3 linked regions of the Tamandua tetradactyla genome follow. The protein of the gene in region 2 interacts with the protein of the main gene of each other region in a pairwise test. Links are inferred from orthologs where the notes say so. Each region holds a gene or a part of one and is shown on either strand. Other genes may lie near its edges.

What was found.
Region 1: the proteins of SPA17 (region 2) and MYL6B interact in binary tests that used the Homo sapiens proteins (3 or more experiments, as listed by UniProt). The two-hybrid records come from large-scale screens. The link is inferred for Tamandua tetradactyla from reciprocal best matches to the Homo sapiens genes SPA17 and MYL6B.
Region 3: the proteins of SPA17 (region 2) and AKAP7 interact in a two-hybrid assay, tested with the Homo sapiens proteins (3 studies listed by BioGRID and IntAct). The two-hybrid records come from large-scale screens. The link is inferred for Tamandua tetradactyla from reciprocal best matches to the Homo sapiens genes SPA17 and AKAP7.

Annotation. Positions count from the first base shown.
Region 1 is NC_135333.1:123,210,471-123,220,165, reverse strand, and holds MYL6B (myosin light chain 6B), read right to left. Parts: upstream 4,968-9,695; 5' UTR 4,838-4,967; intron 4,601-4,837; exon of another isoform or gene 4,474-4,600; intron 3,596-4,473; 5' UTR 3,550-3,595; coding exon 3,355-3,549; intron 2,619-3,354; coding exon 2,591-2,618; intron 2,374-2,590; coding exon 2,230-2,373; intron 2,009-2,229; coding exon 1,835-2,008; intron 1,432-1,834; coding exon 1,354-1,431; intron 1,242-1,353; coding exon 1,213-1,241; 3' UTR 1,203-1,212; intron 1,061-1,202; 3' UTR 954-1,060; downstream 1-953. Other genes in the region: MYL6 (myosin light polypeptide 6), read right to left, coding at 328-385. UniProt on the Homo sapiens protein: Regulatory light chain of myosin. Does not bind calcium.
Region 2 is NC_135334.1:13,029,424-13,040,163, reverse strand, and holds the start of SPA17 (sperm surface protein Sp17), read left to right. Parts: upstream 1-6,743; 5' UTR 6,744-6,888; coding exon 6,889-6,910; intron 6,911-7,179; exon of another isoform or gene 7,180-7,282; intron 7,283-7,931; coding exon 7,932-8,111; intron 8,112-10,740. Other genes in the region: SIAE (sialate O-acetylesterase), read right to left, coding at 2,016-2,177, 6,406-6,472. UniProt on the Homo sapiens protein: Sperm surface zona pellucida binding protein. Helps to bind spermatozoa to the zona pellucida with high affinity. Might function in binding zona pellucida and carbohydrates.
Region 3 is NC_135331.1:192,690,168-192,700,550, reverse strand, and holds the start of AKAP7 (A-kinase anchoring protein 7), read right to left. Parts: upstream 3,970-10,383; 5' UTR 3,921-3,969; intron 1-3,920. UniProt on the Homo sapiens protein: Probably targets cAMP-dependent protein kinase (PKA) to the cellular membrane or cytoskeletal structures.

The sequences.
Region 1 (9,695 bases), on a different chromosome or scaffold from region 2:
AAGGAAAGGCAGAAGTAGCCGATTAAGAGACAGAGGAGCGCTGGCAGCTTAATACACCCACTCCAAACTCCACACACAGCAGGCATTAAGCGACCAAAGAGTTTCACATACCACACCACCTAAAACTCACCAAGAGCTTGTGGCTCAGATCTAGAGTGGAAGAAGAGGGAGGAAGAGAAGAAAATGGAAGATCCAGAAGGAGGAAGAAGGGGAGCCAGGGGTTCCTCCCCTGGGGGTGCTGAAGACAAATGTTGGGGGGTTATAGGGGATGTACTAGAGGAGATGTCCGTCACCCTAAGGGTGACCTCAATAGGAGTCAGAAATTACCTGCGGTCTGGTCCTCCGTGAAGTCACACTGCTCAGAGAAGAAGGGAGCGGTCAGCATCTCAACTCCAGTCCCCCATCTTCTATCCCAGTCCCACAAACTGAACCACAAACTCCTACGCTTCCCAACAGGACAGAACCCCAGACTTTCCAATCCCACCTCCAGTCATTCAGGCCCTCAGGCTTCCTTTGACCCCTCCCGCTGTTTTCTCCTCGTCCCCCACCCAGGCTTCCCGTCTCGCCCCAAATCCCACTCATCCTCGCAGGATCCGGGCCCCACCATCTTGACTGCTCAGCTCTGCGGGACCTTTTCCTGCAGTAATGGCTTCTACTCCAGGCCCAACCCTAGTCTTAGTACGTCCCAATGACGTCACCGTTAGTTGACTTAGCCAATAGGAACACTGCCCTGGGTTTATGCAGATGAGGTAGGTGGAAGGGCCGCGGCTGCTCCTTTCTCCAAAATAGCCCTACCTGGGGCACAGAAACCGCGGAAGTGGGTGGGGGTGGGGCGCAATGAATCTGCTCTTCCGAGCAGGAGAACGATCAGAGGATACCAGATTTTGGAAAGGAGAGAATGGGCCCTCCCGTTCCTCCCTCCCCCACCTCTAAAGAAAACAACAGTCCGAGGCCAAGGGAGGAACAGTCTCTTTATTTGGAAACATAGGTGGCCTCCTAGTGGCAGAAACATGCTTCCGCCGGGGGATGCGGGGGTGGCCAGTGCTCGGCCCCACGGGATCTGTGGAAAAAGAAGAAAGTTGCCAAGCCCTGGCGCACGCGCAGCAACAGGGCAGGAGACCGCGCTTCCCTGCTTTTCTGCGCTGGTTGTGGGAGGGGAAGGAGACTTGCTTCTCAAGTGTGGGGATGGGAGGTTGTCCTACCTGTGGAAGCTCAGACGCTTAGGATGTGCTTCAGGAAGGCTGCAGAGACAGTGGGCAAGAGGGGCTTCAGAAGCCGTTCCTTAAATAACCCAGACCTTAACCACCCCTCCCCCACCCACATGGTGGGCTGGGCTCCCCTCTGGCCCCTCACCTTCATAGTTGATGCAGCCGTTGCTGTCCTCATGTCCTGCCAGAACAGTCTCCACCTCCTCCTCAGTCATCCTCTCTCCTGAAGCCCAGACACAGCGTCTTAGTCCCTGCCTTTCCTCTCTCACCAACCCAGTTCCCCACAGCAACTATCCCCAAAGGAATCGTCCTTCCGCAATGGCAGTGCCTTGCATCTGTTACTGTATTGCTTTCCAATAACAAAGTGCTCGGGGACTGGTGAAAGCTTTGATAAGCAGGAAACTGAATTCCTGAGGGTTAAGAGACTTGATCCAGATCACAGAGCAGATGTATCTGTTCCAAAAAGGAAACTCAGGTCTCCCATCTCATCCCCTTTCCTCTGTCTTTTGGGAGGCATCTTCAATCCTCCCTCATTTTAGCCTTTGAAACCCTTCAGATTCTGCCCCTTCCTGGCTCTGCCTACTTGGCCAACCTCTCCGTCCCACAAAAGATGATCTCTGCCTCACCCAGGGTGGTGAGGACGTGTCTGAGCTCTGCTCCCATGACTTTGCCGTTTCCCTCCTTGTCAAACACTCGAAGCCCCTCTAAGTAGTCCTCATATGTGCCTTGGTCCCGGTTCTTGGCCACCGCCTGGAGCATGGGTAGGAAAGTCTCGAAGTCCACACGCCGGGACCTCAACTCTGGCGAGGTAAGAGAGAGGTCACTGTGGTGTCATCGGGATCCAGCTCCCATCCCTACCAGGAAGGCTTTGATCCTCTCCACCCTGTTTAACATTTCAGGATGTTTTTCTTCCCCTGTGTTTGAAGTTCTGAGACCCACCCAGCATCCTCAGCCATATTATCAACATTCCTGGTTTCCACCATCGACTTAAAACCCCACAATGTTCAAAGCATCCCCTCACCATCACTTTTGGGGTTTCCCAGGACCCTGAGCACCTCGGCGTTAGTGGGGTTCTGGCCTAGGGCCCTCATCACATCGCCACACTGGCTGAACTGGATCTTGCCATCCCCTACTCGGTCGAACAGCTCAAAGGCCTCCTTGAACTCTGAGGTTATAGAGAAGGATCAGTGTTGACCAGGAGTTACCATCACCAGACACGAAGAAGGTTCTGAAATTATGAGCTAGAGCTGGGCAGAACAAGGGACACAAAGACGACTAGTGTGGGAGGCTTCAAGGTCGGGACTGGAGTTAAGAGAATAGAGAGAGTATCTCAGCAGGGGCTTGGGGCTAGACAGTGGGCTAAGGGGGCAGTTTTTCCTCACCCTCCAGCTGATCCTTGTTAAACTCGATCTGTGGAAGAAAAGAGCAGGTGAGGAGGGATGACAGGGTTTAATAAATCCCTCTCCAACACTCCTCCCAACCAACTGGCAGCCACTTCTGGGGAGGGGCCCAAAGGGAACAGGCTTGAAGCCCAACTACCTCAGTCCCATTCCCGGCTCTGGGCCTTGGGAGAATCCCAAGAGGAGGAATTATGGGGGGAGGGTTTCCTGGGAGCAGGCTTAATCCCATGCCACCTGTTCCCCTCCCTCCACTGCCCTGAGCCCTGCATCCCTCACATAACTGGGGGCTGAACAAAGGCTAAATTTACCCCCTGCCCCCAGCTGTGATTGTCTAACAAGCCTGTCCTCTTCAGCCTCTCCTCCAAGGGTTCAAAGCTATGGCCTTTTGAGTTGAACTGCAAGCCAGGGACAAGCAGCAGCAATCTCCCTTCACCTTGAGACTATTCTTAGAACCCAGATGTTCCCATCCTAAAAGTCCCCATCTCCAGCAGAGGATCAGTGAATGTGTGTATGCACACATGCATGCAACATGTACACAAACATTCACACTTGTTATAAATTAGAACAGCAAACACAAAAGCAGAGACACGAGCCTGGATGCTTCCAAATAGGGGACCAAGGGGACCCCCAATCTCATCTCAGTGCTCATTGATTTTGTACTTTCCACATACCCCCTAATCCCCTAGGTTGTATCCCACCCTCTTACCACCCCCTCCAAATTCTATCCTCATTTTTTGAGGACTCACCACCACTTTGGAGAGGTCGATGGGGGGCTCCTCGGGTTTTTTAGGGGCAGTGGGAACAGCTGGCTCAGCTGTGGGCTTGGCTGGAGGGGCTGCTGCTGCGGGCTTGGCTGGAGGGGCTGCTGTTGGCTTGGCAGCAGGTTTGGAGAAAGAGGGCCCCAGTGGCTTCTTCACGGGAACATCCTTCTTGGGAGGCATGATGTCCGGTGGCCAAAGGACAGTGTGTCAATGGGGGCATCCATCTCTGTTTAAATAGCCAGGGAGTCTGGGATGTCAAAGGGGGGGGTGGGCAGTGGCAGGGAGCCAGTTGGCCGTGGCCAGGGTGAGGTAGAGGAGAGATATGCCTGTCTGCCCTCACTCCCTTGGCCTGCTAAGGTTCATGACTCCTGCCCCAAGGTCTTCCTGGCTCTGCCCACTGCCCCCGCCCCCCCCAAACACTGGCTGAAACAATGTCCCCTTTGGGGGCAGGGAAAGGAAGCCAGAGACTGTCCAGGATAGGGGAGTTAACCTCCGGGGTGAGGACAGGATACATGCCAGTACCAAAGAAGGGGATCCAGGCATTACAGGCCCCTAGGCCCCTGACTATTTGAGTAGCAGCTTTAGACTCTTGAAGGCTGAGGCAGGGCAGGGGGCATTGTGAATTGGGGTAAATTAACATAGGGGCTGGGGCAGAGAAAAGTGAAAAAAAAAAACAAGCAATCCTTTCACCCGCCTCTGACCATGGGGGAGGGGGGATGTAGCTGATCCCACAGCCTAACATCCAGCACCTGTAGTCCCCGGCCACCGCCTAGCCCAGAACTGGAGCTGTACACAATATAAACAGTGGTAACAGTAAGGAGAGTGCGGCATCTCTTCCCCGCCTTTGTCTCCTCTTTCCAGTACTGTTTTAGAGGTGGAGGTAGGGACAAGGATCAGGTACTTGCCACTGCTACTGCCAAGGAAGGAACCCTTTTTCACAAGCCTACGGTCATTCAAGTCGGGCAACCTATGGGGTGCGAGCCGACCCCACTGAGACCGTGGTGGCACCTGGGGGTGGGGAGCTGGCTCTGGGTGGCAATGACCTTCTCTAATCCAAAAGGATGTGGGGGAGTAATTCTATGGGCTCCCAGAGAGAGTACTCACCCCGCAACCAGATGGGAAATAAAAGCCCTGAGTCAGGTGCCAGGTCACAAGCCTTGCTGGGGGCGCTGGGGAAGGGTGGGAGTTGGGGATGTTTGGTAGATGGGACAGGTTGCTGGCTACTTTTGACCTGGGGGAAGGATGGGAGGATTTAGGAAGCATTCAGGGAAAGAGAGCAGTGATTCCATTTAGGCCCTGGGGTTCAGAGAATTGATGCTGGGTGGTTAAAAAAAAAAAGCTTCTGAAGCTCGCAACCGCAAGTGGTCCCATTTTAGGAAAATTAGGCCTCATTCCTTCTAGAGAGTACACACACATCCCTAAGTCTGAAATAAAGGAAGGGACCCCGCCCCAGCCCGCGCAAACTCACCCAGCGGGGTCCGAGGAAGGGACGGGGGCGGGGACGGGGCGGCGCGCAACGCGGCCAGGTCCCTGAAGGGTTAATTCCGGCCGCCTCGGGGCATGCCGGGAGCTGTAGTCCGCGGGCGTCCGCCGCTCGGGGAAACGCGGCTCTCCAAGTGGAAGCGGATGCGGGGCGGTGGCTTCCGGCCTTTGAAGGCAGTTGGTGACTCAGAGCTTTTCGAGCGCGCTTTTTATTCCGGAACTTTAAGGCAGTGAGCAATTAAGAACTTCACCCCTCTCCCTAAAATCCTGCGAGGTCCCTCAGGATAGCCCCCTTGGTTCTAGTGAGTTTCTCGTTTAGTGAGGGCGAGGATATTTTTCAGGGCTGCTGATGCGAGAAGGACCCAGAACCAGGCGAGATGGTGAAGCTGCAGCAGGCGGGATGGAGGTCAGATAACAGGAAGCACTTACTGGCCCGGGGAGAGTGGCTGCGGTCTCGTCTTCCACTAGTAGTTTGGTAGAGATAGAACAGAGGTCACTGAGTTGCTGTGTGACTTTGAGCAGTAGTTTCCAAAGTTGTATTATTTTTTAAAAAGCTGATCGTTCTTTAAAATTTGGAATTAAGCCCGAACACCTGCTTCAGAGGTTGTCCAGTCTCTTCCAGGTCGAAGCTTCTTCCTGCGGCCACATCTGTGCCACTTTCCCGCTCTTCGGACGCTTCTTTGGGGTGCAGCTGTGCTCTCCACCCCTCATTCTGTGACACCTCTGCCTAGCATTGGACTTCACTCATTCTCCCCAGACATTTTCACCCATTCCCGCTTGTCATGTATCGAGGGTCTCCTCTGCCTCTGTACTGGGTGAGGGAGAGAACCTTCCCGGTCGGGCTCCCTTTTCAGTCACTGAAGGATTTCAGGAATCCCATGGGAGGCAGGGAGTTAGTTGTGTGAGGCACAGATGAACTTTATGAGCTCTAAATGACGTTCTGTGGTCAATGGTTGGGGAAAGCTTCTTGGAAAGAAAATGGATTGTAGATTGTATTAACAGAAATAGCAATGATGATGGTGATGTTAGCAGCCATTCTGTTCCTCCAGGCCTTCATAGACCAGGTACCGCATTTAGCTACTGAATTATCGCAGAGACACAGCATAAGAAAAGCTAAAAGTATGAGTACTCAGGCCAGCCTGCTCAGATTTGAATCCTCTTTTTTTTTTTTTTAAATCTTCCTTTTGCCACATGCTAATAACCTCAGGCAGGTTATCTCTCTGTATCTCAACTTCTCCATCTATAAAGTGAGGACAATGAAATCTCATTGGGTTATTAAGATGATCGGGTTATGCTAATATTTGTAAAATAGAACAGGTTTGGCACAGTGTTTGTCTAGGTAAAATAAATTTCATTTAATCTTGCCAAGATAAAAAGTAGGTAGTATCTTCCCCCATTGTATATCCATGCATGATTAGTAGGTTTGAAGAAATAGGATGAAAGAATACGTTTCTCACAATTGTTTAGTTACTAGACTGTTTGGGGAAGGGCCACGTTACACGTTTTTTTTTGCAACACACAGAGAAGTTGATTTTGAAGATGTGGTTTATCTGATTTTTTTCTTCTCCTTTCTCCTAGCTGTAGCCCACACTTGGCACTTTGCAAAATGAGGGGTTATGCCATCAGCTGAATTATTTGTGTTTCTGGCTGCCTTATTGAGAAGTAGTGTAAGGAGAAAAGATGCAAACCCTTCCCACAAACAGGTTGGAGGACTAGTCTTCATTTCCTGTACATGAATAACAAAACTGGACTGAACACAGTTTTAACTGGATACAGGTGATTTAGACATCATCATGTGGGTTATCTGTGACAAATGCCTATTCTTTCTCCTCTCCTCCCTCCCCACCTACAGGTGATTAGTGGTTGCATATTTATTGTGATATTAATCTCAACATAATTAGCAAGGGCACCTCTTTCTTTTTAAATATTTTTATTGAGAAATTTTCACATATGTACAGTCCATCTACAGTATACACTCAATGGCTCACAGTATCATCACATAGTATATTCATCACCATGATCATTTTTAGAACATTTGCATCACTCCAGAAAAAAAAAGAAAAAGAAAAAACTCATACATCCCATGCCCCTTACCCCCCACAGTGACCACTAATATTTCAATCTACCCAATTTTATTTTTACCTCTTATCCCCCCCTTATTATTTGTTTATTTATGTTTCCTTATTTTTTTACTCATTTGTTCATACCCTGGAAAAAAGGGGCATCAGACACAAGGTTTTCACAATCACATAGTCACAGTGTAAAAGCTATATACTTATAGAATTGTCTTTAAGAATCAAGGCTACTGAAACACAGCTCTACAGTTTCAGGCACGTCCCTGAAGTCTGTGGGAGTCATGTGAAAGGGCATCTCTTGAAAGGAAAGTAATACATGAAAAACCTGGAGGACACAGATAAAAAAAGAAAAAAATAAGTAAATTGAACTTCATCAGAATTTAAAACTTGTGCGTCAAAGGACACTATCAAGAGAGTGAAAAGGCAAACCATAGAACAGGAAAAAATATTTGTAAATCATATATCTAATAAGGGTTTAATAGCCTGAATATATAAAGAACCCCAACTCAACAATGAAGACAGACACAATAAAAATAGGGGCAAAGGACTTGAATAAACATTTCTCCAAAGAAGATATACGAATGGCCAGTAAGCACATGAAAAGATGTTCGATATCATTAGCCATCAGTACCAGCCACACCTATTAGCTTTCATATCTTCAAAGGCATCCTATGTCCTTTTTACTCAGGCTGTTGGCATTTGTCGTTTATGCCCTTCACCTAGTCTCCAGGTGTATTCCCAAGGCCAAGCAGAGCACAGTACCTGGGATGTTCTCAGCACTCATATTCATAGAATAAGTGGATATCTGGGTAAATGAGAAGACTCAAGGATGAGCACCAATACTAGTAAGTCAATAGGGAGATAGGTGGGATTAAGGTGAGAGAATTCCCTGTGTTTTGGACTCTAACTTTCACCCTGAAGTAGAAGGTTAGGTTGTTTGATTTGCTAAGAGAGGAAATAGGAGGAGGTGGCTTGAGAAAGTAAGGAAGGTTTGAAGCAGGTACTGTGAATAGCTTACTGGATACCCATTCAAAAATACTCATTTGAAAAGCATTTACTAATTATCTTCTGTGCGTGTGGCACATGGACTTGCTGAGCAACACGGAGGCTGGGTGCAATGATAGATCATGAATTTGTGATGGAGCCAATACAAAAGGTAGTGATTTCCTTCTTCCAGAAGTAGTCACCTGGATGATTGAGCCAGGGAAAGACAGACGGAATATTATAATGAGTTGGAGATTTGTGGAGGTAAATCCACAAATTTAGTCCGGGCCAAATAAAGAAAGAATGAATATAGAGGAGGGTGCTATTGGATTGAGAGAATATGGAAAGACATTAAGGGGAAGGAGTCTCAGTGAGATTGAAGAAATGAGATAGTTGGAGAGCTCAAGAGTTGTAGTTGGAGAAAATAGTGCATTTGAGATTAACACTACAAGGGATGCAGAGGAAGACTAGACCTAGGATGGGTGGCCATTGGAGTGGGTGGTTGAAAGGGCAGTGGAAATGAAGGCCATTCGATTTGTGGAGAAAGCCTGTTAAGGGTTCTTCCAATTGCAGGTAGAAAGAAATTAACAAATTGGCTCAATGATAAAGGGTATTTATTGGCTCATGAAAAATCAAGAGATGGGTGGGCTTTTTGTTCAGTTTGATCCACAGATCATGACATAATAAAGGGATCCGTTCTCTTTAATATTCTTGCTAATGTCCTCCTTCAGGTTAGCTGCTTCTTTCTTGGCTCCCCTCCTGGAGCCGGATATGGCTTGGCTGTAACAGTTCCAGATATCACATCCTTATACCACAAGAGGAAGAGAAACATAAAAAAGACAAACAACCCAATTAAGAAATAGGCCAAGGATTTGCATAGACATTTCTCCAAAGAAAATATACAAATGGCCAATAAGCATGTGAAAATATGTTCAATATTATTATTAGTCATAACAGAAATGCAAATCAAAACTACAGTGAAATAGCACTTCACACCCACTAGGATGAACATTATTTTTTTTAATTATTTTTTTTTACATAGGCAGGCACCGGGAACCGAACCCGGGTTCTCGGGCATGGCAGGCAAGCACTCTTACCTGCTGAGCCACCGTGGCCCACCCAGAACATTATTTTTTTAAGAACGGAAAATAAGTGTTGGTGAGGATGCAACAAATACCTTGTTGGTGGGAATATAAAATGGTACAGCCTCTATTGAAAACAATTTAGTGAACTCTCAGAAAGTTAAACAGAATTACCATATGTTCCGGCAATCCTACTTCTAGGTATATACCCTAGAGAACCGAAATAGGGACTCAGAAAATATTTGTACATCAGTTTCATTCAGCATTTTTCACAATTGCCAAAAGATGGAAATAACCCAAGTGTCCATAAACAGATGAATGGACAGACAAGATGAGGTATATGCGTACAATGGAATATTATTCAACCATAAAAGAGAATGAAGTTAATACATGTGACCACAGGCATTTGTGAGGAATACATGTATATGAACATTGATGAAACTTGAAGATATGTTGAGTGAAATAAGCCAGACACAAAAGGGCATACTGTTATGATTTCATTTATATGCAATAACAATGCAAATACACAGAGTCAGAAAGTGGAGTGCAGAGTACCAGGGGCTGGGGAGAGAGGGAGAATGGGGAGTTTGATGTTCAATGGATGGAACTTCTGTTGGGGTGAGGGAAAATTTTTGGTAATGGATGGTGGTGATAGTTGCACAACATTGTGAAGTAATTAATGCCACTGAAATGTCTGGGTAAA
Region 2 (10,740 bases):
AGTAACATTAATTATTAGTACCAAAGAAACTACCTTACTTATTTTTAAAGACAGTGGTTCTTTGGGTTTCTAAATCACCATCATTTATTGAGATTACTACTATCTGTTCACCATGTTGCTGATTTCTAAGAGGGATACAACACAGACAGAAAGCACTGCTAGTCCCTTTGAATTATTCACTTTCAATTCATCCTGCAAATCACTGATAGCATTAAAATCTAAAGAAGGTCTCTTAGCTTCACCCAATAACATTCCTTCCTTTAAAAAGTCTTAAAATACAAGAACTAGAAGAGCTTACCTTATATCTAGTACATGCTATGTTTAAGTGTTCGCTGAATTGAAATGAAATACGAACAGCCTGCATCAGATTTTAGATCACTCTGGGTTAGATATCAGGACTGTATATTGACAGAACTAACAAGGCAATCCAATAAAATTTCCATAAACTTCCTTGTCACATATATATTCAAGTCATTGTGCAAACAACCAACTCCCATATTAACTCCACCTCTGCCCAGAGCACCTTCTTCACTTGTCTAACCCTCACCTCTACATCCCATAACTAAATAGCTACTTCTAATTAAGATATAATCAGGTTTCCCCACTTGACCCAGTCCCAAGCATGCTTCCCTGCACCTACTTACTCTAGCTTTGGCTCCTAAACATACTATTTCTACATGTTTCTCTTCTAGACAGAGACCCCTTTGCAGGATCTCCCTGCTCACAAAGGCTGCTAATACTAGCCTTCTTGAATATTCTCACAGCTACTTTCTTGAGTAAAGCCTTCAACATCCATTGTGTGGATATCGTAATAGCTGCTAGCAGGTCCTACTACCAAACCTTCCACAGTGTTGCCAGAATAACCTTTCTAAAACATAAATCCAATCATGATTATTTTGCTGCTTAAATCCATTCATCCAGAATAAAATATACACTCCTTAGCAGTGGCAGACAAGTGTCCTGACCTTTCCAACTTCACCTTCCATCACCCACCATCAGTCACATATTTCAGGCGTTTCAGACAAACCAACCTGCTTTGCCATTTTTCCAATGATCCATGCTCACTCATGCCTTTGCCAGGCTACTTGGTTTGCCTTACTCATCTTTCAAGATAAGGCTTCAACTAAGTTAACTATCCCTACAAAGCACTCCCATAGCAACCTCCACTTCTCCATACTTATCATATACAATTACAAATGCTTATTTTTTTGTGTGCCCTCCCCTAACTATAAGCTTCATTACGGGAGAGACCACATCTGTTTCATACATCACTGTATCGCCAGGACCTAGTATGGGGCCTGGCACACCAGGCATGAAACAAATACTTGAGTGACTGATGAAATAATAATACAAGTAATAATAGGAGCAGTAATAATAACGATAGAACAAGGAATAGCAACAGTAAGAGCAGCTAACATTTCATCAGTATTCACTGTGTGCCAGGCACGATTCTAAGTACTTTACATGTGTTAATTTTTTTTAATTCTCAAAGTACAATAATCCAAAAAATATTATTTCTACTCTACAAATAAACTGTGGTGCAGAAAGATTAAATAATATGCCCAAGGGTACATAGCCACTAAATGACAGAGTCAGAACCTGAACCCAGGCAATGATTCCAGAGCCTTGGTTCTTAGCCACTTCTCCATACCAATGCACAAATGACTCAGCTCAAGTGTCACCTTCTGTAGAAACCTCTCCTAACCATCCAATCTGAGTCTACTGTTTCTCTTCTGTATTCCAACACCCCTATATCATAGCACATATCACACTAGACCACGTGACTTAGTGTTTGTCTATTCCCATTATTCCATGGGCTCCTTACAGACAGGGACTTTGACTGAGCATTATTTTTCTTTGTATCCTCAGTGCCTAGCAAATGGTTAATAATAATACCAGTGACATTTGGGGATGGATGGATGAATAACCTGAGCTTAAGCATAAGAATTCATTCTCAAGTAGTCCAGCAGGTGGCAGAAGAAGAAAAGAGCTGAACAGAGGATGAGGCGCCTTACCTTTCACACTGGTCCCCTTCCTCATGACGGTTTCCTGATCTTGGCAAAGGGACACAGTCACTGTTGCTCCGGGTAGCCCATAGCCCCAGATCACTGCCCCAGCAGGCTCCTTCTGCAGCACCATGTAGTCACTGATGTATGAAGCAAAGCGAAAACCAACACCTAAAAATTTCAGCAAAATATTTAAAAAGGTATCGCTAGGAAATTCATCACCAAATGAATCAGGTGAAACAGCAAAGAGCATATAGCCTTTACACAAGAGAATTTGGATGTGCCCACTCCTTTTAATCATCTCAAACTAGATCTTATTCCTCCTAATTAGGTAAGCCGCATAACATGAAAAGACTCCAACAATATGCATCACAGAACAAAATGACCAATGACAAAAATTCAACGAACATAGGGCAACTAGCATACCAAATGCCTCTTTCCCTCGGCGCTCTCAATCTTCCTTTACTCTTAGGCCTGGCCCCAAATGCTTGATTCTCCCCCTGCCCAAATCACTCAAATGCTCCTTTTATGTGCCCTACAGATGGTGTTTATGAGGAAAATAAACCACTTCCTTCCCCTACTTTCTATTATCACTCCCACTCCAAGTAGCTGAGAATAAGGAAGCATGCCTCTCTCCAATACAGTCTTCTCTAATCTTTTTTTCCACTCTTTATTTCCCCCTTCTCCATCCTAAACCAGTGTTAATTTCCCTCAAATAATTCCCCTTGTTCTGGTTTCTTGATAATCCACTATACTGCACTGAAAATTTTAAATAAGCATTTATGAATGTCTGTGACAAATCTGCATCCTCCAAAGGTAAATTCAGATGAACAAAGATGCAAAATAAGGTCAGATATAGAAGATCAAAATGCCTGACCAAAGCTCTTTCATCCCAATTTTACCCATTTCTCAAGCTAAATTATACAAAAAAAACTAGAGAAAGCACACTTGAAATTGTGGATTCTATTCTAGAGATTCATTAGCAAGACTGAATAAGAATTCACTTTAACAAGAGCATTCCTATTTTTAACATCCAACCTATATCGAATCATTTGATTATAAGAAGCATTGATCCAAATTGTGTCAGTGAGTTCCTCATCAAAATTTAACAAGAAAAAGGAAATTTCTTAAATTGTATCCCAATTTGTCTGGACAAAACAGACAAATATCCCTAGAATAAAATAATTTAAAAAGATCTTTTAAGTGTCTTAACAATGACCAAAAAAAAAGACAGGAAAGAGAATTAGAATTAACGAGGTTGACATTGTCCTCCCTAGAAGTTACAAACGATGACAAACGATGAAGGCCCCTTAGGCTGTACTGAACAGGGCAGAGCAGCTACTGGAGTCTCTCCTACACATTCTTAGTGGCCTATTTATCCTGCCCTTTGAATAAGCCCAGTCCCCCAAATCCTCAACCCTTTCATATGAGCTAGTTTGATCATAAAACCTACATAACACTCAAAGATTGCCCAGAAGGTCTACTGGGCTGGAGAGGAACAGCTACCGTGAGCAAAAGGCTCCAAGAAGAGACAACACCCCAGAATTGCATAAGCACGTTGGCAGCCTGCTGTGGAGGAAGCAGGGAGACACGTGTGGGAGGCCCTTGTCTTGGGTAGGTGCTTCATATAGAACAAAAAATAAAAACCAAAGGCATAAGAGCTAAGGAGAGAGAAGGCGGGAGTAGGGGAGTGAAATGAGGAAAACTGGCTGCTGCTTGCATATGAACCTAGAACAAGCGAAGGGTTCCACAGGCATAAGGCCAGTGGCCCACAGGCCAGGAGTAAATACCTTTCCAAGTCAGTCTATTATCACCAACACCCACTTACTGAACTTCTCTGTGCAGGGCCCTATTCTGGGTTAAAGAATTTTAGAGGTGAAAAAGATCTTACACACCCTAAAACACAACTCTCAGGTTACTTACTGATCAAGAGACTGAGACCCTCATGTTGAATAAAATAAGCAAGACACAAAAAGCCAAATTTTGTATGATCTCATGAAATAATTAGAAAAGCAAACTTATAGTGTCAGACTCTAGAATACAAGTCACCAGTGGACAGGGTGGGGATAAGTAATAAGGAGTTAAGGCTTAAAATGTAGAGTTTCTATTTGGAAAAATGGAAAGGTTTGGGTAACAGATGGTGGTAATGGTGACACCACAATTGTGAACGTAATTTACAGCACTGAATTATATATTTGAGTGTGGATAAAGAGGAAATTTTAGGCCATATACATGTTACTAGAAAAAAGACAGTTAAAAATAATCTATGGAACAGCACAACACAAACAGTGAACCCTAAATTAAACCATGGACCATAGTTAATAGTACAATTATTAAAATGTGTATTCATCAAGTGTAACAAATGTTCCACACTAATGCAAGGTGTTAATAATAGGGTGGTATATGGGAACCCTGTACTTATGCATAATTTTTCTGTAAACCCACAATTTCTCTAATAAAAAAGAGAGCAAGTGAGATCCAAGAAGATCAAACAATTTTTTAAAATTACTAGGTAGCTAGTGTATCTGTTATATATGGGTGTACCTATATGCCAGGCACTATTTTAAGCACTGGGGACATAACAGTAGAAAAAAAAAAGATTAAAATCTTTGCCAGCAGGTAGCTTATAGTCTATTTGGGAAACTTACATGTGGCAGGAACAGTGCTAAACAGATGACAGACATTAAATTTATTCACCTAGCTAATTAATGAGGAGGCTAACAACTACCTAATTCCAAAGTTACTGTAATTCTCACTCCGCCACAATTTGATACTGATGGGAATACAGTCATATTCCCCGTCTTGGTAAAATTCCAAGCTAATAAGGATATACACTAGAACATTAGCAAGGAATTGAGCTATGAACCAAGTAGGAGATGGGAAGGATAGGGGCAGGGCTAAGGGCTAGTAATGGTTTTAGACACAGTTAACATTTGCTTTTTTTTTTAACACCTTCAATTTTTTCAATTGGAGGTTGGAGTAGAAAAATAGGAATTGATGTTGTGAGGAAGAGACCATTATTAAAAGTTGACTGACAAAATTAGTACTGTGTGACTTCTGACGGGGAGTTGGCAGATTGGGATGGGAAGGTACACTAAGCACATCTCAATTATACTGACAATGTTATAGTTCTTAAATTAGGTGGTGTATTCCTGGATGTTTGTCTTATTGTTTCGCCCTTGCATATGTTTTTGTATGACTCAATATTAAATGATAAAAATGCAATTACACATAAAGGGAAAATGTCAGAAAATGCAATCAAGGTAGAAGGAAAATTCAGAGCACTAATAAATGAAAAATACAATGTTAAGGAAGGTGATATAAGGACATGAAAAAAAAAGAAGATAAAATACTGATGTTAAAATTAACAGAAAAACTATTAGTTAGAATGGTGCACCTCTCCTCTTTACTTTCTCCCCACCTCATAAAATGGAATTCAAAGGTCACTGCTGGGGAGAGGAGTCAGGGAATGATATGCAGAGTGCTACACATTTGCACTTCTATTAAATCCAGAAAAAGCATTGTATGGGCTGATACGTTTGAAACTGGGTAGTTTTGCAGGTTCTTATGTAGAGCCGTGGTTATTTTTCTGCCCTCTATTCTCCTACTTCAATTTTCAATTCTGAAAAGACAATCTTTGGAGTCCACTCTGAGTGGTTTGAAGAGAAAGAATAGCTTTAGCGTTATCACTTTACTTTGTATGAAACAGAGTCCATCTCTGGTTTCTCCATTCTTGTTGCTCAGTGTCCAGCCTGCCTACTGCAAAAAGAGGGGTATTCAAAGGTAGGATCCTGCCTGAACAATAGCCCAATGCCAGTCACCCTCCTGCCCAATGCCGTGTACACTATCCCACCACCATTATCTGTAACCGTGCCAAAAATCAAAACAGAGCCTTAAATATTCTGAGGTAGTGAGGGGGTTGTATTTCTTAGCCCTAATCACCACTTAAACTAGTAAAATTTAATTCCCCCACAGAACCCAGCCTGAAGCAAACCCTCCCCAAGGGTACCACTGAGGAGGCAGCACTGAAATGTTTTGGATGATTCAGTCACCTGTTTCCAAATATTATCTAACTAGCTTCGCCCCCTCCACTCCGAGCTCCCCTGAAGTGATTCAAAGACTGAAGGCCTCGGTCTGGGCATCTTTGGGCCTCCCCTCACGCTGCCTCGGAAGGAGGACAACCTATAACGACCCAGCAAGGGAGAGGAGAAGGCAGAAGGGCTGGAGCTCCGGCCCACCAGGCACCAGCAGGCTAGGCCTGGGCCTGGGCGATCGCGGCTCCTGGCAGGGTTCCTGTCCCGACCTTGAGAAGGACGGGTCGAGATCCCGCAGAGGGCGCCGAATCTCAGAGCGGGCACAGGCGAAGGGGCAGGGGTTGGGCCGGGCCCGGCCGCCTCACCTGCACTGCTGCCGGCCCACAGGATTAATGGAAGCACCAGCCCAAGAAAAAATCCCGGCGCGACCATGTTCGCCAGGATCCGCCACCACCGGTGCTCTGGACCCGGAAGTGGACAGTGGGAGGGGGCGGGGCAAAGGTGGGTGGGGCAGAGGCGGGGCGACCTAACTCCACCCTTTCCAGGCCATTCAGTCCGCGAAGCTGCCCGCGGCCGCAGGGCGAGGCCGTGCCTTCCCCCCTCTCGGCCGCCGTAATTCCAGAAAACGGTTACCCAGCAACGAGCAAAAACAACTGGAACCATCCGCACCAGCTCTGAGAAAAAGAAGAGGTGAGGTGGTTTCTCCTACTTCCTCTCCAAAACCGAGACCTCGCTTCTCCCCCTCGTTTCTCCTATTCCTTCAAGACCCCGTACACATTCCTAGAAGTCTGCGGCAGATAGGAAGTCGAGACAGCCCATTCTGCAAGAGTCTAAATCCCAGATCCTCGATGTTCCGCCCTACTAGACCAGGTCTTCCCCTCTATCTGCCCCCCAAGCCCCACGTTCGTTCAGAGTCTCGCCAGTCCTTGTTTTCACAACCCTAGATTGGTTCAATACCTCATCTCCTGACCTCTCAAAGAAAGAAAAATCCCTCCACAGTTTGAGCCTCATTAAATCGCCTAATCCGCTACCTGGATGCCTATCCACGACCTCCGCCTTTACTAAGCATTAACACACACGCACCCACATACAAACTGACGAGATCCCTAAGTGTCTTTTTATGCTCAGTAACCCAGTCCGTTGCTTAGCAACTCCCCTTAATCTAGCCCTTATATTCCAAGACAGGAGGAGATGGCCTGGTCACAACAAAACCAGAGAATATAGAGGAATCTTTAGAGACTGGTATTTCAAAATCATGGCCTTGTGCCCCCTGCCCCATTCCAGAACATACAGAATGTTTAGAGGTTATAGATCACACTTCAGGAGAGGCAGCAAGGGAAAGATTAAGCGTGAATTTTCTTCATTCAACAAGTTAGAGAAATTTCTAGAACCTAGTTGCTACTTTATAAAAGAAATGTTTTATTTTAGATATAGTTATGTGTATAATTTCCTAAACAGGATCTTCTCAGTATTTTATAATGAATTCAATTAAACTAGCTTTTTAAAAATCATTCTCTCTAAATTCCTGTGAGATAGTAAAAATTATCCTCATCATTTAAGGAAAGAAACACTTTCCTTATCTTTTTATCTCTGAGGGACAGAGATTAAAAAAAGAGAGAGAGAGAGAAGTACTCAGTGTCACAGTGAAAATTTTCTGATTTTTGTAATTTTTTAAAAGTGCTTGGCCTATTAGATGTATTTGTAATATTATAATTTATAGTGGAGAATTCAAAACTCTTTGGAAGAAATTAATTGACTAGCATTGTACTGGAAAAAAATATATTGGAAGTCCAGAAAATTTGGTTGTCAGAAGTAATCTGTTGTCGTAGTTGTGATTATATAAAGTAAAACCAGGCAAATTTAAAGACAGTACTCTTTAATGAAATTCTAGGTACAATAGGCATTCCTTCCAAAGAGATGTCGATTCCATTCTCCAACACTCACTACCGAATTCCACAAGGATTTGGGAATCTTCTTGAAGGGCTGACACGCGAGATTCTGAGGGAGCAACCGGACAATATACCAGCTTTTGCAGCAGCATATTTTGAGAACCTTCTAGAGAAAAGAGAAAGTAAGCTTCTTAAATATAGGCTTTTTATTTTTAAAAAATTTCAAAGACTAAACATTTGTTTATGGTTAAACTTGCTTAGGACCCTCCCCATTTTACAGAAAACCTTTTTGAAGCCCATGGCTTCTAATAACAGTTCTTGCTATGTGAAACTTGCAATTTTGACAGTTTCTCTTAAATAAGTTTCATATAAATGAAGGTTGCCAACTTATTATCCAGACCTCTGTCATTGTATATCTCATGGACACACTGAGTGGAAGGGGAGTGCAAGAGTTAGGTATACAGTCTACCCTCCACTTTCCAGCAAACTGTTCCCTCTACATCCCAGGGAGTTCACTGTTTATTCTTCCTGGGAGGAGAATTTGTGGTTTTCTTTACATTTTTATTCTTCTTTGAAAGTGTTATAAGTGTGGTAAAAAAAAAATCATTCTAAGCTTTTTAGATAAAATAAATTGGTATTCACTGGGAGTGTTTGAAACTTCTACAATGAAAGGTACATAGGCAAATGCTTTCAAAGTGAATTGCCCAGTTTGGGAAGACAAATTATATTCTTCCTCTATAGTCTCAAGGTCCCATCCAGCCCAGAGGCTGAGATCCATGTTAACAATGACTCTGTGATTGAAAGAAAAAGCAGAATTCCTTCACTTCCATAAATAAAATTTCCAAATGCCCAGCCTTGAAGTCATTACTATTAGGACCTGATCCAGTGGTCAAGATGGGAATTATTATCTACAAATTTATACCAAAAACCTATTCTTGACTAGAGCATCCTTTCTCTATAAATTGTTGTCATCATTACTTTGGATTATATTATTCCAAAAGACTAGTAATGGTGACTACGATGACCATAAGCAAACATTCCATTTTAAATCATTTTATAAAGAAGAGAAACCTACCTGAAGTTTGAATTCAAAGAATTTCTCCCAAATACGCTGTACAGCTACACTCCCTTGCCTTGTTTTCCATACTCTCACAGGGCTCAGAATCTCTGCCAATTTCCTGAATGTTGCTGGACTTTTCCATACCCAGTCAGTGTGAATATTTGTTGCACAACCTGAAACTTAAATGTCCACTAAAAACATTTTGATAAATTATCCATAGGTGGAAAAGTTATTAACAGAAATATTTGGGGTAAGAGATGAACTGTATGGCACTTTAATTTAATTTTGTTATTATAACATCGGTTTCATGCAATAGAAGTCTTTAGTCATTTATTTAATTTTAGAACTCAGGAACATCCCATTACAAAACATTTGAGTCACTGTTATCAGATCATGGTAATTAAAGCAATTGGTGATTCAATTTAATGGTCTCGGAATATTAGCTCTCTACTAACAAACAATGGGGAAAACCATTTGAAAAATATTAAGCAGTATGCCCAATTCCACCCATGTCAACCAAAGGTGAGTTATTAGACTGATGCATACTAACAGAATTTAGCCTCTCCAAATAGAGAGGGAAAAATCAGATCCTCTAAGCAATTCTCCCACAAGATATAAGAATTCTGTTGCCAGAATTCCTAGTCTTAACTTTGATTTTTGTGACAGGAAACATGTTAGTATATGATATAAATGATATCTCCGATCAGTAGGGAAAAGACGGACTTTTCAATAAATGATAATAGGATAAAGATGCAAAAAGGTAAAATTGGATCAAATCTTTACACCATATACTGGGATAAATTCCAAATTGATCGGAGAGTTAAACATTAAAAAAATGAATCCATACAAATACTAGAAGAAAATATGAGTCAATTTTTCTGTAACTTAAGAAAAAAACTTTGCTAGTTAGGATTCAAAACTCCAGAAACAATTAGAAAAACAGTTGATAGAACTGACAGAAGTCAATTTTACATGGTAAAAATTGCTGTAAGGAAAATAAAATTGCAAATTAGAAACTGAGAAAAAATTTGCAATTTTTATCACATTGGATTAATAAACCTAATAAATAGCTTGTAAAAACAGTAAAGAAAAAGTCACAGCCTTATAGAAAAAAATCGGCTAGACATATGAGAAGCAGTTTACACAAAATAAATGCAAATTGTCCTTAACATATGAAAATATACTTAAACTAATAACATAAGTCCAAGTCAAAACTACACTGAGATACCATCCCAATCCCTCCATCAGATTGGCAAAGTCCAAAAATTTGTCAACATACTCTATAGGCAGGGCTGTGGGGAAACAAGCACTTATATATATCGCTGGACGAAATATAAAATAGTTCAACTCCTCTAGACAGGAACTTGGCAATATCTACCAAAATTTTACATGTATTTATCCTTTGACCCAGAAGTTCCACTTCTAGGCTATTTATTGCGTCATTATTTGTGGAAATAACCCAAATGTCCATCATAGGGGACTGATTAAATAAACTAGAGTGCATCTATGGAATGGAATAATATGCAGTTCTATAAAAGAATAAGGAAGGTTTCTATATCATGCTATGGAGTGATCTTCAGGATATATTAAATAAATAAAGCAAGGTAGGGAACGTGTGTTTTGTAGGCTACTATTTGTCTAACAAAGGGGTTGATATACATGGCTTTATATTTTTTAAATGGAAAGATAAATCATTAAAAAACTAGTGGTTGCTCTAGGGGAGATGGGATTAGGATTGAAGGGGTAGGATA
Region 3 (10,383 bases), on a different chromosome or scaffold from region 2:
ATTTTTACAGTAGTTTCTTAATTCAAAAACTATAATTTTTTCAATCTTTTGGAAAACAAACCAAGATTTTGCTAGTCTTCTTTCATGTTTATTTTTAACAATATCACCTCACTTATGGGTTCTCATTTGTGTAAGTTCTGATCTTCCCCTCAGTAAAGCCATTTAAGTAACTTCTTTCCATCATTACATTTAACGCCGAAAATGCAGTTAAAGATATATGGCTCTAAACACACTCTTCTGGAAATTCAATGATTAAAGAAGGAAAAGCTTCTACAGTTTCCCTAATAGCTCCGTCTCACAGGCAGGCACTAACATTAAAACCACATTTTGCATTTGGTGCTTTGTTTGGTTTTGTGTTCCTTATAACGGGTGGGAAAATAGTAGTCTAGGGAGAAAGTTAAAGGAAGGGGTGTCTGTGTCTAAACAGATAAAGTTCATTATCAGTGGTCTCCCAGGACCTCTCCACGCCTGCGCTGGCAGAAACAAATGTTGAATGATCTAGGACTGAACAAAACCCTGGGATACTCCAGTGATTTTACTTTATGCTTTTATTAAACACTGTGCGGTTTGCAGCTGTTGTGTACCCAGGAAAGCCATGTCCTTTTTCCTGCTCCACTCTTGTGGGCAGCCATGTTCCTTTAATCCTGAATCAATACAGTGGGGTGGAAACTTTGGACTGTTTCCCCGGCATGTGGCACACCCAGTGTGGGTGCGACCGTGTGATCAGAGGGAGATGTGACTCCACCCATTCAAGGTGGGTCTTGATTCGTTTACTGGAGTTCTTTAAAAGAGGAAACATTTTGGAGAGAGCTTCGGAGCCAACATGCGGCCCAGATGTCTGCAGCTGCACAAGGAAAACGCCCCAGGGAAGCTGTTTGAAACCAGAAGCCAAGGGACCGGCAGAGGCCACGTGCCCCCTGCTGGCAGGGTGCTCCAGATCCACGGGCCATTCTTGAGGCCGATGCCTTAGTTTGGACATTGTTATGGCTTTAGAACTGTAAACTTGCAACTTAATAAATTTCTTTTATAGTAGCCAACCGAAAAACAAAAGCCAACCCATTTGTGGCATACAGCATTCCAGCAGCTTAACAAACCAAAGCAAACTCTTATTTACCACTCAAAATATTAAAGAAGTGATGTATTTCATTCTGTCAATCCTACGTTTTCAAATATAATACCTAGAAGCATTCTATAGAGGCCATGGTTTACAGCATACAACATAACTCTCACGATAGGTCAAAGTCAACGCATACACCAAAAAATCTAAATTTTTATCACAGTTTGAGTCAGCTTTATTGTCTTTCGCACACCATACCCCCACACATAAACACACACAGGTACCTTTATCTTTTGTATAAAAGAAAAGAACAAAAACAAAGTTGTTGCTGGTTTTGTTTATAAATTAGACAACTTCAATACCAAAACAAACAATGGGAAAAAGCAACAGAGCACCATAAACAACGCTGCTGTTTATAGTACAGTTCAAATTCATGAAGAGTGGCTGGCACACAGGCGTTCAACAAACACCAGCCTACTGGGAGGCTGCTCGTAAACTCACAAATACTGAACTACACGAGAACAAATAAATGTTTCCTTTCTGGTGTTTATGCTTAAATTTAAAACTATAAAATGCAGTTTATGCTAGAACAAAACTATTAACAGACCAATACTTTTTTGTACCTTAGGGTCACATGCTAAAGGATCCTTACCGTCCCTGTGAACCTGATAAAGTAATTACCTTATGTTTGATCTCAAGGAAAAAGCTAACCACAAAAGAATATTTGTGCAGTATCAAGCATGCACAAGGCTGAATGGAAATCAGAACGCAGTAAATCCAGCTTGCTTTTCCCGGCGTTATCCTAGAACGCAGAACCTCAGGACACTGCCATCTCAGTGCCAGCTTTCACCTGTCCGCCTCTCCCGTGGGAACAGGACAGGGAAGGAAACTTCCGTACCCCAACATCACACTTTGAGGGCAAGGAGATGAATCATATAGAATGACAAATTGTCTTTTTTTTTTCAATGAAAAAAATATTTTAATATTAAACTTCATAGCTTATCTTGAGCTCAACCATCATTAAAAGTTTAGAGAGCATGTGCTGTGCAGCTCCTGGGACACAGGAGGAGGGTGGTCAGCGAGGAGGGCGCACTGCCCTGGGCGCTGGGGGCCAGCAAGCAGACGTTGGGTGCGCCCACATGGGGCACTCAGCTCCCAGCTGCCCCTGCCGGGGTGAGGGAGCCCAAGTCCTGGCTGCACATCAGCGGCACCTGGGCGCTCTCAGAACCAGCAGCCAGGCCAATCAAATGAGAACGTGTGGGAGTCGGGTCGGCTGGCAGGTGTTAGGAGCCCAGCAGGTGAGGCCACATCAGCCAAGGCTGGCAAGCACGCTTCTCGTGTGTCCTGTGCCTTCCTGCACACCTCGGTTCCACGCTGGATCTTTTCAAGGTGGATCAGGGCAGGCCTGTGCCGTGGGGTGGGTGGCGGCCTCCCCAGGGGCCTCCCCGCCGGACCAAGCACCCTACTGTACAGACCCCCAGCTCAGTGAGCACAGGGAGCTTGCAATCCCCTGCCAGGGCGCAGCGCTCGGAAAGCCGAAGGGGGACCTTGCAAGCCTCTCCCGGGCAGCCCACGCGGCCACAGCTCCAGGCCTGGCCCTCTGCACCCAAACGCCTGGCGCCTGCTCAGCTCACATGGGGGTCCCCGCTGCCCCCCAACACCTGGCGCCTGCTCAGCTCACATGCGGGGTCCCTCGGCCCTCTAATGCCTGGCGCCTGCTCAGCTCTCACGCTGACTTCTGGGTGACTGGGGAAAGGTCAGTGACCCACGGGGTGCTTCACGCACCAGCAGGCAACCTGCCGAGGCTGGTGGCCACCCCTGAGCCCATCATACATTCTCTCAATGTCACAGAGGTGAAGAGGCGGCACTCCCTCCCATGTCACATAGAAATAAAAACAGAAGGACACGGTGACTTGTTCATCATTTTCCACCTTGTTAAGTAAAATACTAACCTCCTGGATGCAGTTCTGACATCAAAGTCCACGGGAGACTAGAACTTGAAATACACTTTGCTCTATTAAGTTATCCATAACTTTATTCTTAAGTTATAGAATAACAAACATTTTAGTGGACAAGAATTACATTTATAAGAAAAACAACAGATGCAGATATTGAAACGATACAATGAAAACACACATTTAAATGTATGCTTATTATCCAAACACATGCACACTTTAGTCAATGACTTCATCAAAGACAGGACGATACCGGAGGAAAAGCACATCCACGCGTCACGGGCGGGTAGTAAACACTACTTCATTAAGCATGCGCTCTTCCAGTCCCTCTGGGAGAAAGGACAAGACAATCAAGGGTAGGGGATGCCCCAGCGCCAGCTCGGCCCGGGTGCGCACAGCTGCGCGACCACCCACCCACTCACCCACCCACCCGTGTCACAAAAAGGGAAGGAAAACCGCCCACACTCCCAGGTGGAAACGCACTGAAGTCAGTCAGCAATATCTGAAAAGGGATTTAAGGAAACAGTGACTTCCATAAACACGTTAGACTTCCTCCTTGTGCGCCGCGTGGGCCAGCGGGCGCGGGGACACGGCCGTGACCGCCCACGAGGCCTCCGTCCGCGGCCCGCGCGCTGCCTCGGCTCCTCCGCGCCTCCGCGCCTGGGGCTGGGTCCCGCGCGGCCCACGCTGGGCGGACGGGCCCCGAACCCCCAACACCCCGGAGGCCACGCCGCGGGGCTCGCGGGGAGGCCAGACCCGGGGGCAAGAGCGAAAGCGGCGGGCCGCGCGAGACCAGCCCACGCCGGGCCCGGGTGGGGCGCCTTCCGCTCGGAGCTGCGGGCGCGCCGGGCCACCCGCCCCCAGGCCCGGCCCCGGCGCGCAGCCGCCCCCGCCCGCCCCGCGCTCACCGGCTCGGGCGCGCTCCACGATCGCGGCGCTGCGGGCGGCCGGCAGCGGGGGGCGGGCCGCGGGGAAGCCGAGCGCGGCGAGGCCCAGCCACGGGGGCAGCCGCATGTCCGGGCCGGGCCGCCGCGCCTCGGGGCTGCGCGCGCCGCGGGCCGGAAGGGGCCGGAAGGAAGGGGCCCGCCGTTCCGGGTTCGGGCGCGCCGCGGGCCGCGCTGCACGGGGCGGAGGCCTGGCCCGCCGGAGCCGGGAGCCGCGAGCCGCCGGGACCCGCGTGCCTTCCCGTGGGCCTGGCGTGGCCTGCGTGCCCTCCCGCGGCCCCCGGAGCCTGGCACCAGGCGTTTCCTGGGCGCGGCGTTTCCCGCCCCCGCCTGGAGGGGAGTCCGGGCAGAGCTGGAATGGTTCCCTAACCCGGGACCCCTGGGGATCCGTGTGCTTGGGGAGCCAAAGAGCTGTGAAAACGATTTAAAAATGCTTGGGAAGATTGGATGGACCAGAACGAGACCTGAAGAACTGTACTGTATTTTATTTACTTGGCAAAAATAAGCCAAATAGTGACAAAAAATCTGCGAGGATTTTAAAAAATGGTTTTATGCTTAAAAATTAAATAGAAACCAGTCATTCGCTTTTGCAGATTAAAGTACTGATGCCAGTTAAGCGGGAGAAAAAGGAAACACTTCAGCCTTTTCCGCCTGGAGCAGAGCGACAGCGACTCAGTCTGAAGTGGAAAGAAACGATGTGACAGGAGAATGAGGTGCGACCCTCAGCAAGGTAAGCGCACCCTTTTGGGGCTTCCCACCCCACTTACCAGGAATGCCCCCCAGAGCGGGTGTAAGCAAAGGAGGCCCCTGCAAACCAGGCTGGTTGGCGTGGAGACCATCGACTGAAAGTCACAAAGCTGGTGGCTCTGATTTTAAACAGAATTCTAGCAAGGCCGCTGGCTGCCTTCCACACCCAGAGCAGTTGTGCGCTCACGAAGAGGAAGACCAGTCCCCGAACGCGGATTTCACGCCTGTGAACAGCGGGTGTTGAGGTTGTGCGGGTGCCTAAGACAACTTTTCCTCTAGGAGCTGATCACCTAAGCAGGCACATGAGAATCAGATACATAAGTAACTGCAATAACGCAATAGACAAAAAGCTGCAAAAAGTTAATCCGCATTATTGTGTTCCAGGAAGAATATGAAAGTTTTATTCTCTACCTCAGTGGAGTTATCAGCCCAAGTGCCAATTGTTGTACACTGTCGGTATTATGACTGTAGCTTCTTACCCAGAACATGTCACTGCAGGGACGTTAGAGTTGCCCAAGCCTGAAAGAGCTGCTCCTCACAGGGCTCCTTTGAGAAGTGCCTGGGGCAGGCAAATTCAAGGGAACCTGGGACATCTTATAGTGCCAAAAAGTAATATAAATGGGGACTGTCAAAACATAGGCGCTAACTTAAAACTACTCTCTTTGAGCAAATGGAGAACAATTTGAGCACCATAGAAAAAGTGACAATTCTAAGTATTGTAACAGTGAATACATGAAATCCCTGGAGTCCATAATGATAGTCAAAAAAATAATAATAAGACAGAAAAAACTCAGTCTCATTACTCTGAAAATTGGTGATTAAAAGTAAGGTAAAGCATTCACTCTGCTTTTTCTTAGAAAGAATGGCATTTGGTGAAGAAAAACTGTTATTTTTTGTTTTTGCATGGGCAGGCACCAGGAATCAAACCCGGGTCTCCAGCATGGCAAGTGAGAACTCTGGCACTGAGCCGCTGTGGCCCACCCAAAAGCTGTTTTTTTAAAAAGTTGATTGTGATGATAAAAAGTATGTAAGCCCTCTAGCCTCCTATATTCCAAAGCAGCTAGAAGGAAAAATGTGAGAGGATCGTATGGTAGCCCATGACAACCTCTGTGATCTGTTCTGTAACCACTTGTTGAAGAGTGCTTGGAAAACAATTGCTTTTTTATTTCTTTGCTTTTTATATATGTTAGACTATACAATAAGAAAAAGTGTAAAAAGATGAAATGAGAAAAAGAAGAAAAGAAAGTGATACATGTGGTTGGTCACTTAAACAAACGGGGTTCAGGGCTCTTCTGTCAAAGTCGTTGTGCCAAGACTGTATTCCTAGCCTCAGAAGACTTGCACAAGTCAACAAGCTTTCAGTCTACACTGTGGACAGTGGTGGCTTCTTCAAACAGTAACCTAAAAATTAGCAAAGGACCATGCTGGGCAATTTCCTATGGCCCTTATCTATGTTAATACCGTCAGCACTGTACCTACCAAGTAACTGAACTCAGAGGCCTAGTAGTCACTCTGAATTCCACTCTTCTCCAGTTCACTTGCTACAGATCTCTAGATTCTATTTCCTAGGTTTTTCTTAATTCCATCCCTTTTTCTCCATTCTCAACGCCAATGATTTTAGTTCAAGCACTCATCATTTTCCTTTCAGGTAATTGGATCAGTCTCCTAACTTTTCCCTAGCAACATTCTTGCCCACTGTGGTAGGTAGGGTCAGGTGTCAACTTGGCCAGGTGAAGGTGCCTAGTTCTGTTGCTGTGAACATGAGCCAATGGCATGTAAAGCTCATCTGTTGCTGATTACATCTGTAGTCGGCTAGGAGGTGTGCCTGCTGCAATGAATGACATATGATTTAATTGGCTGGAAGCTTAAATGAGAGAGCACAAGGTAGCACAGCCCAAGCAGCTCAGCATACCTCACCTCAGCACAGGCCTTTGGAGATGTGGAAAGGAATCACCCCGGGGAAAGTTGTTGGAACCCAGAGGCCTGGAGAGAAGGCCAGCAGACATCACCCTGTGCCTTCCCACCTAAGAAAGAACCTCAGTGGAAAGTTAGCTGCCTTTCTTCTGAAGAACTATATGTTTTTAACTAAATAAATCCCCTTTTATTAAAAGCCAAGCCATCTCTGGTATGTTGCGTTCCGGCAGCTTTGGCAGACTAAAATACCCACACTCCCCCAAGAAATCCATTTTCCTCATTACTATTGAATAACCATTCTAAAACACTAACTTCCAGTGTTAGTCCTCTGCATGAAGGCCCAGTGTCTAAACAGAATGAAATGCAAACTCCTAAGCAAGGTATAGAAGTCCTTTTATGATCCGACCTTTCCATCTCTTTCCTCTCTCTCAGATGTAGTAATGCTTTTATTCATTGCAAATGCTTGTTTCCTCTGACCAGAAAGCCCTTTCTCTAGCCCCCCACGTCTTCCACCTCACCATGCCTTCACTTGAAAAACACCTATTCAGTAGTTACGAATCAGCTCAAACATCACCTCCTCTGGGAAGTCTTCCATGACTACCTCAGGCAAAGTTAAATTTTCCCACCTCTGTCCCCAATTACAATCAATACTCAACTTTTTCCCCCAATGCTTGTGTATAAGTTCTTGACTGCAAGTCCAGTGCTTACGCAATTATATCCCCAGCCCCAGATGGTTTCTGGCACATAGTGGGAGCTCAGCAAACATTCATTATATTTATTACAGTGCTGTCATCTTGCAATATATTTGCTTATTCACGTGTCTGCCCTACAAAGGAATCTGAGTTCTGGGGGGTCTAGGATGGGGACTTAGGTCTCTATCCCAGCATCTATCACAGTGCCTGGCAAAAACTGAGTGCTCAGTGTTTGTTGAATGAATTAATGTAATTAATGTACAGAAAATAAATGCATAAACCACAAAAAAGCTGTTTTTTACTGAAGAATGTCAAATGATGAATAGGAAAAAAACTGAAAAATTAGAAAATTACTATTTTGCTGAGCAATTGGGAATTGATTCATGAAAAGATTACCTCTGGATGTTCAAATCAGTAAGTGAAAGGCTAATGGGAGCTAGATATTTATAAGTTTCCCAAGTGTTACTCAGCAAAGTACTTGCCAGTTTCTGAGTGGAGAAGAAAGCTTTATAAAGGCTGAGTAAATCTGGTGGTCACGACGTCAAGCAAGTCATCCAACAGCATCATGGGACGACCTGCACCACCTCCTGTGACGTCTTCTTGTCAAAAGTATTTAACCTGAAGCAGGTCGAGGCTTAAAATAACACCCCCTTTACCAGAAATAGAGGGGCCAAAGGAACAAGTAAAAAAATATCGGGGGGAACAATCACACAAATCCAGTGTCCTCTGTTCTATAAGGTCATTGGACTAAACTCTTCAGAAAGTCACTGTTAAAGGAGGGGGTGAATGTGGGGAAATACTTCACAATGAAGGAGGCCTAAGTGAGGACGGCAAGTAAGAAGCCCCAGGACCCCATTCCCCCACAGAAGGTTTGAACAAGTACAACCGATAGAAACATTTTCCTCAAAGCCCCAGAAAATAGTAGTGGATTACAGTAACAGGGTGAACTAAACCAAGAAACGCCACCTAAAATGGTAGGGTCTCCTGGGAACCTTGCTCCTGCACCCCACCCCCACCCCATCCCCTCAGACCAGAGCGGTAATGCAGCCCTACCATGCGCTCCTGGTCTCTGCTGCGGAGGGAGCAGGGTAACCTTTGTGGACATGCTAGGGTGCACGGACATCTGGGCTAGTCTGGCTGGGGCAGTCAGAAGGCCCGAGCCAGGACGCGGGTCACAGGCTCACAGTCCAGGGACTTGCTGTGCACCCAGAAGAGGCTCACAGAGCATCCGCTGGAGTTATGAAGGAGAGCGGTCAGATCACAGCTACCTGGGGCAAAGGAGTGCCAGCTGTAGGACATACAGTGCAGCAGCTCGTCCCGTTTCCTCGAGAACTGAGACATTGTTTTCCTTGTGCATAGGGATTCCTAGAGCACTGAGCACATGTCCAGAGCAAGATGCATGTGCTGAAAAGACAGGGGGGGAGCACTACAATTTTGCCTCAGGTGGTTTTAATTTATTAAATCCTCCAGAATACAATATACCAGAAATGGAATGGCTTTTAAAAAGGGAATTTATTAAGTTACAAATTTACAGTTCTAAGGCCATAAAAATGTCCAAACTGAGGCATCCAGAGAAAGATACCTTGGCTCAAAAAAGGCTGATGTCTTGAAACTTGTTCCAAGTTCCATTGCTTCCAGCTTCTGATTCCAGTGGGTTTCTGTCTAAGCCGTGGGCCATACTAGAGGGAGCAGTGAGAAGTTGAGAGCCCATAAAAACTGGGAGAGAATGGAGAGACCAGGAGAGGCTGCTATGCATAAGCCAGGGACCAAGGATTGCTGGCAGCCAGCCCAGAATGCCAGTCTGAAGGAAAAAACATTGCCTTGATGAGGCCTTAATTTGAAGGTCTCTTAGCCTCAAAACCATGAGCCGTTAAATTCCCACTGTTCAAATCAACCCATTTCATGGTATTTGCTTGAGCAGCAAAGGAAACAGAAACATATACCATATCAAATGAGACATCACAGAAATGCAAGAGTAGTGCAACATAAGAAAGCCGATCCAATATCCTGCATGGACAGAATCAATTAAAAAAAAATTATCTCAAATGATGCAGAAAAGGAATTTGACAAAATCTGGTACCTTTTCTTGATTAAAAAAAACACTCAGAAAAATTGAGATAGAAAGGTAACTTCCTCAACGTGATGCAGTGCATATGTGAAAAACCCATTGGGAACATCATATGCAATGGAAAAAGACTGAAAGCTTTCCCACTAAAATCAGCAGCAAGACAGGATGCCTGCTGCCACCACTGCTATTGTATTGAAAGTGATAACCAAAGAAAAATTAAAAACAAAAATCCAAATTGGAAAGAAGGAAGTAAAATTATCCCTGTTTGCAGACGACATGACCTTATATATGGAAATCAGAACAAGCTACTAGAGATAATAGACAAATTCAACAAAGTGGCAGAATACAAGCGTAATACACAGAAATCGGTGATGTTTCTATACAAAAGCAGTGAACAATCTGAGTAATCAAGAACACAATTCCATTTATTACAGAGTAGTCACAGAGGTCTAGGGGAACAGAACCAATAGGAGATATCTATAAATATGACTTTTATAAAAGTGTTTCATACATCTGTGGGGATGCATGAGTCCAAATTACAAACTGGCAACTGTGATGAAGCTCTGTGAATTTCCCAGGAGATGCTAGCTGGCTGAAATGGAGAGATTCTCTCTTCTGACTTCTCCTTTAAAGCCTTCAACAGATTAGATTAAATGTCACTCATCACCAGAGTCACTGCCCTAAGCCAACTGCAGATGTAATCAGCCATAGACGCAATCAATATGCTGATGGTTTAAAGTCCACAAAATGTCCTCATGTGACAAATAGGCCAGTGGTAGCCTGACCAGACAACTGGACACTACCACCTGGCCAATTTAACCAAGGATATAAAGTAGTTGTACACAGAAAACTACAAGTCCTATTGAAAGATATTAAAGAAGACTTAAATAAGTGAAAAGATATTCCATGTTCCTGGATTGGGAGACTTAATAGTGTTAAGATGTCAATTCTGCCTAAAACAATATACAAATTTAAATCAATCCCTATCAAAATTCCAGTTGCTAGT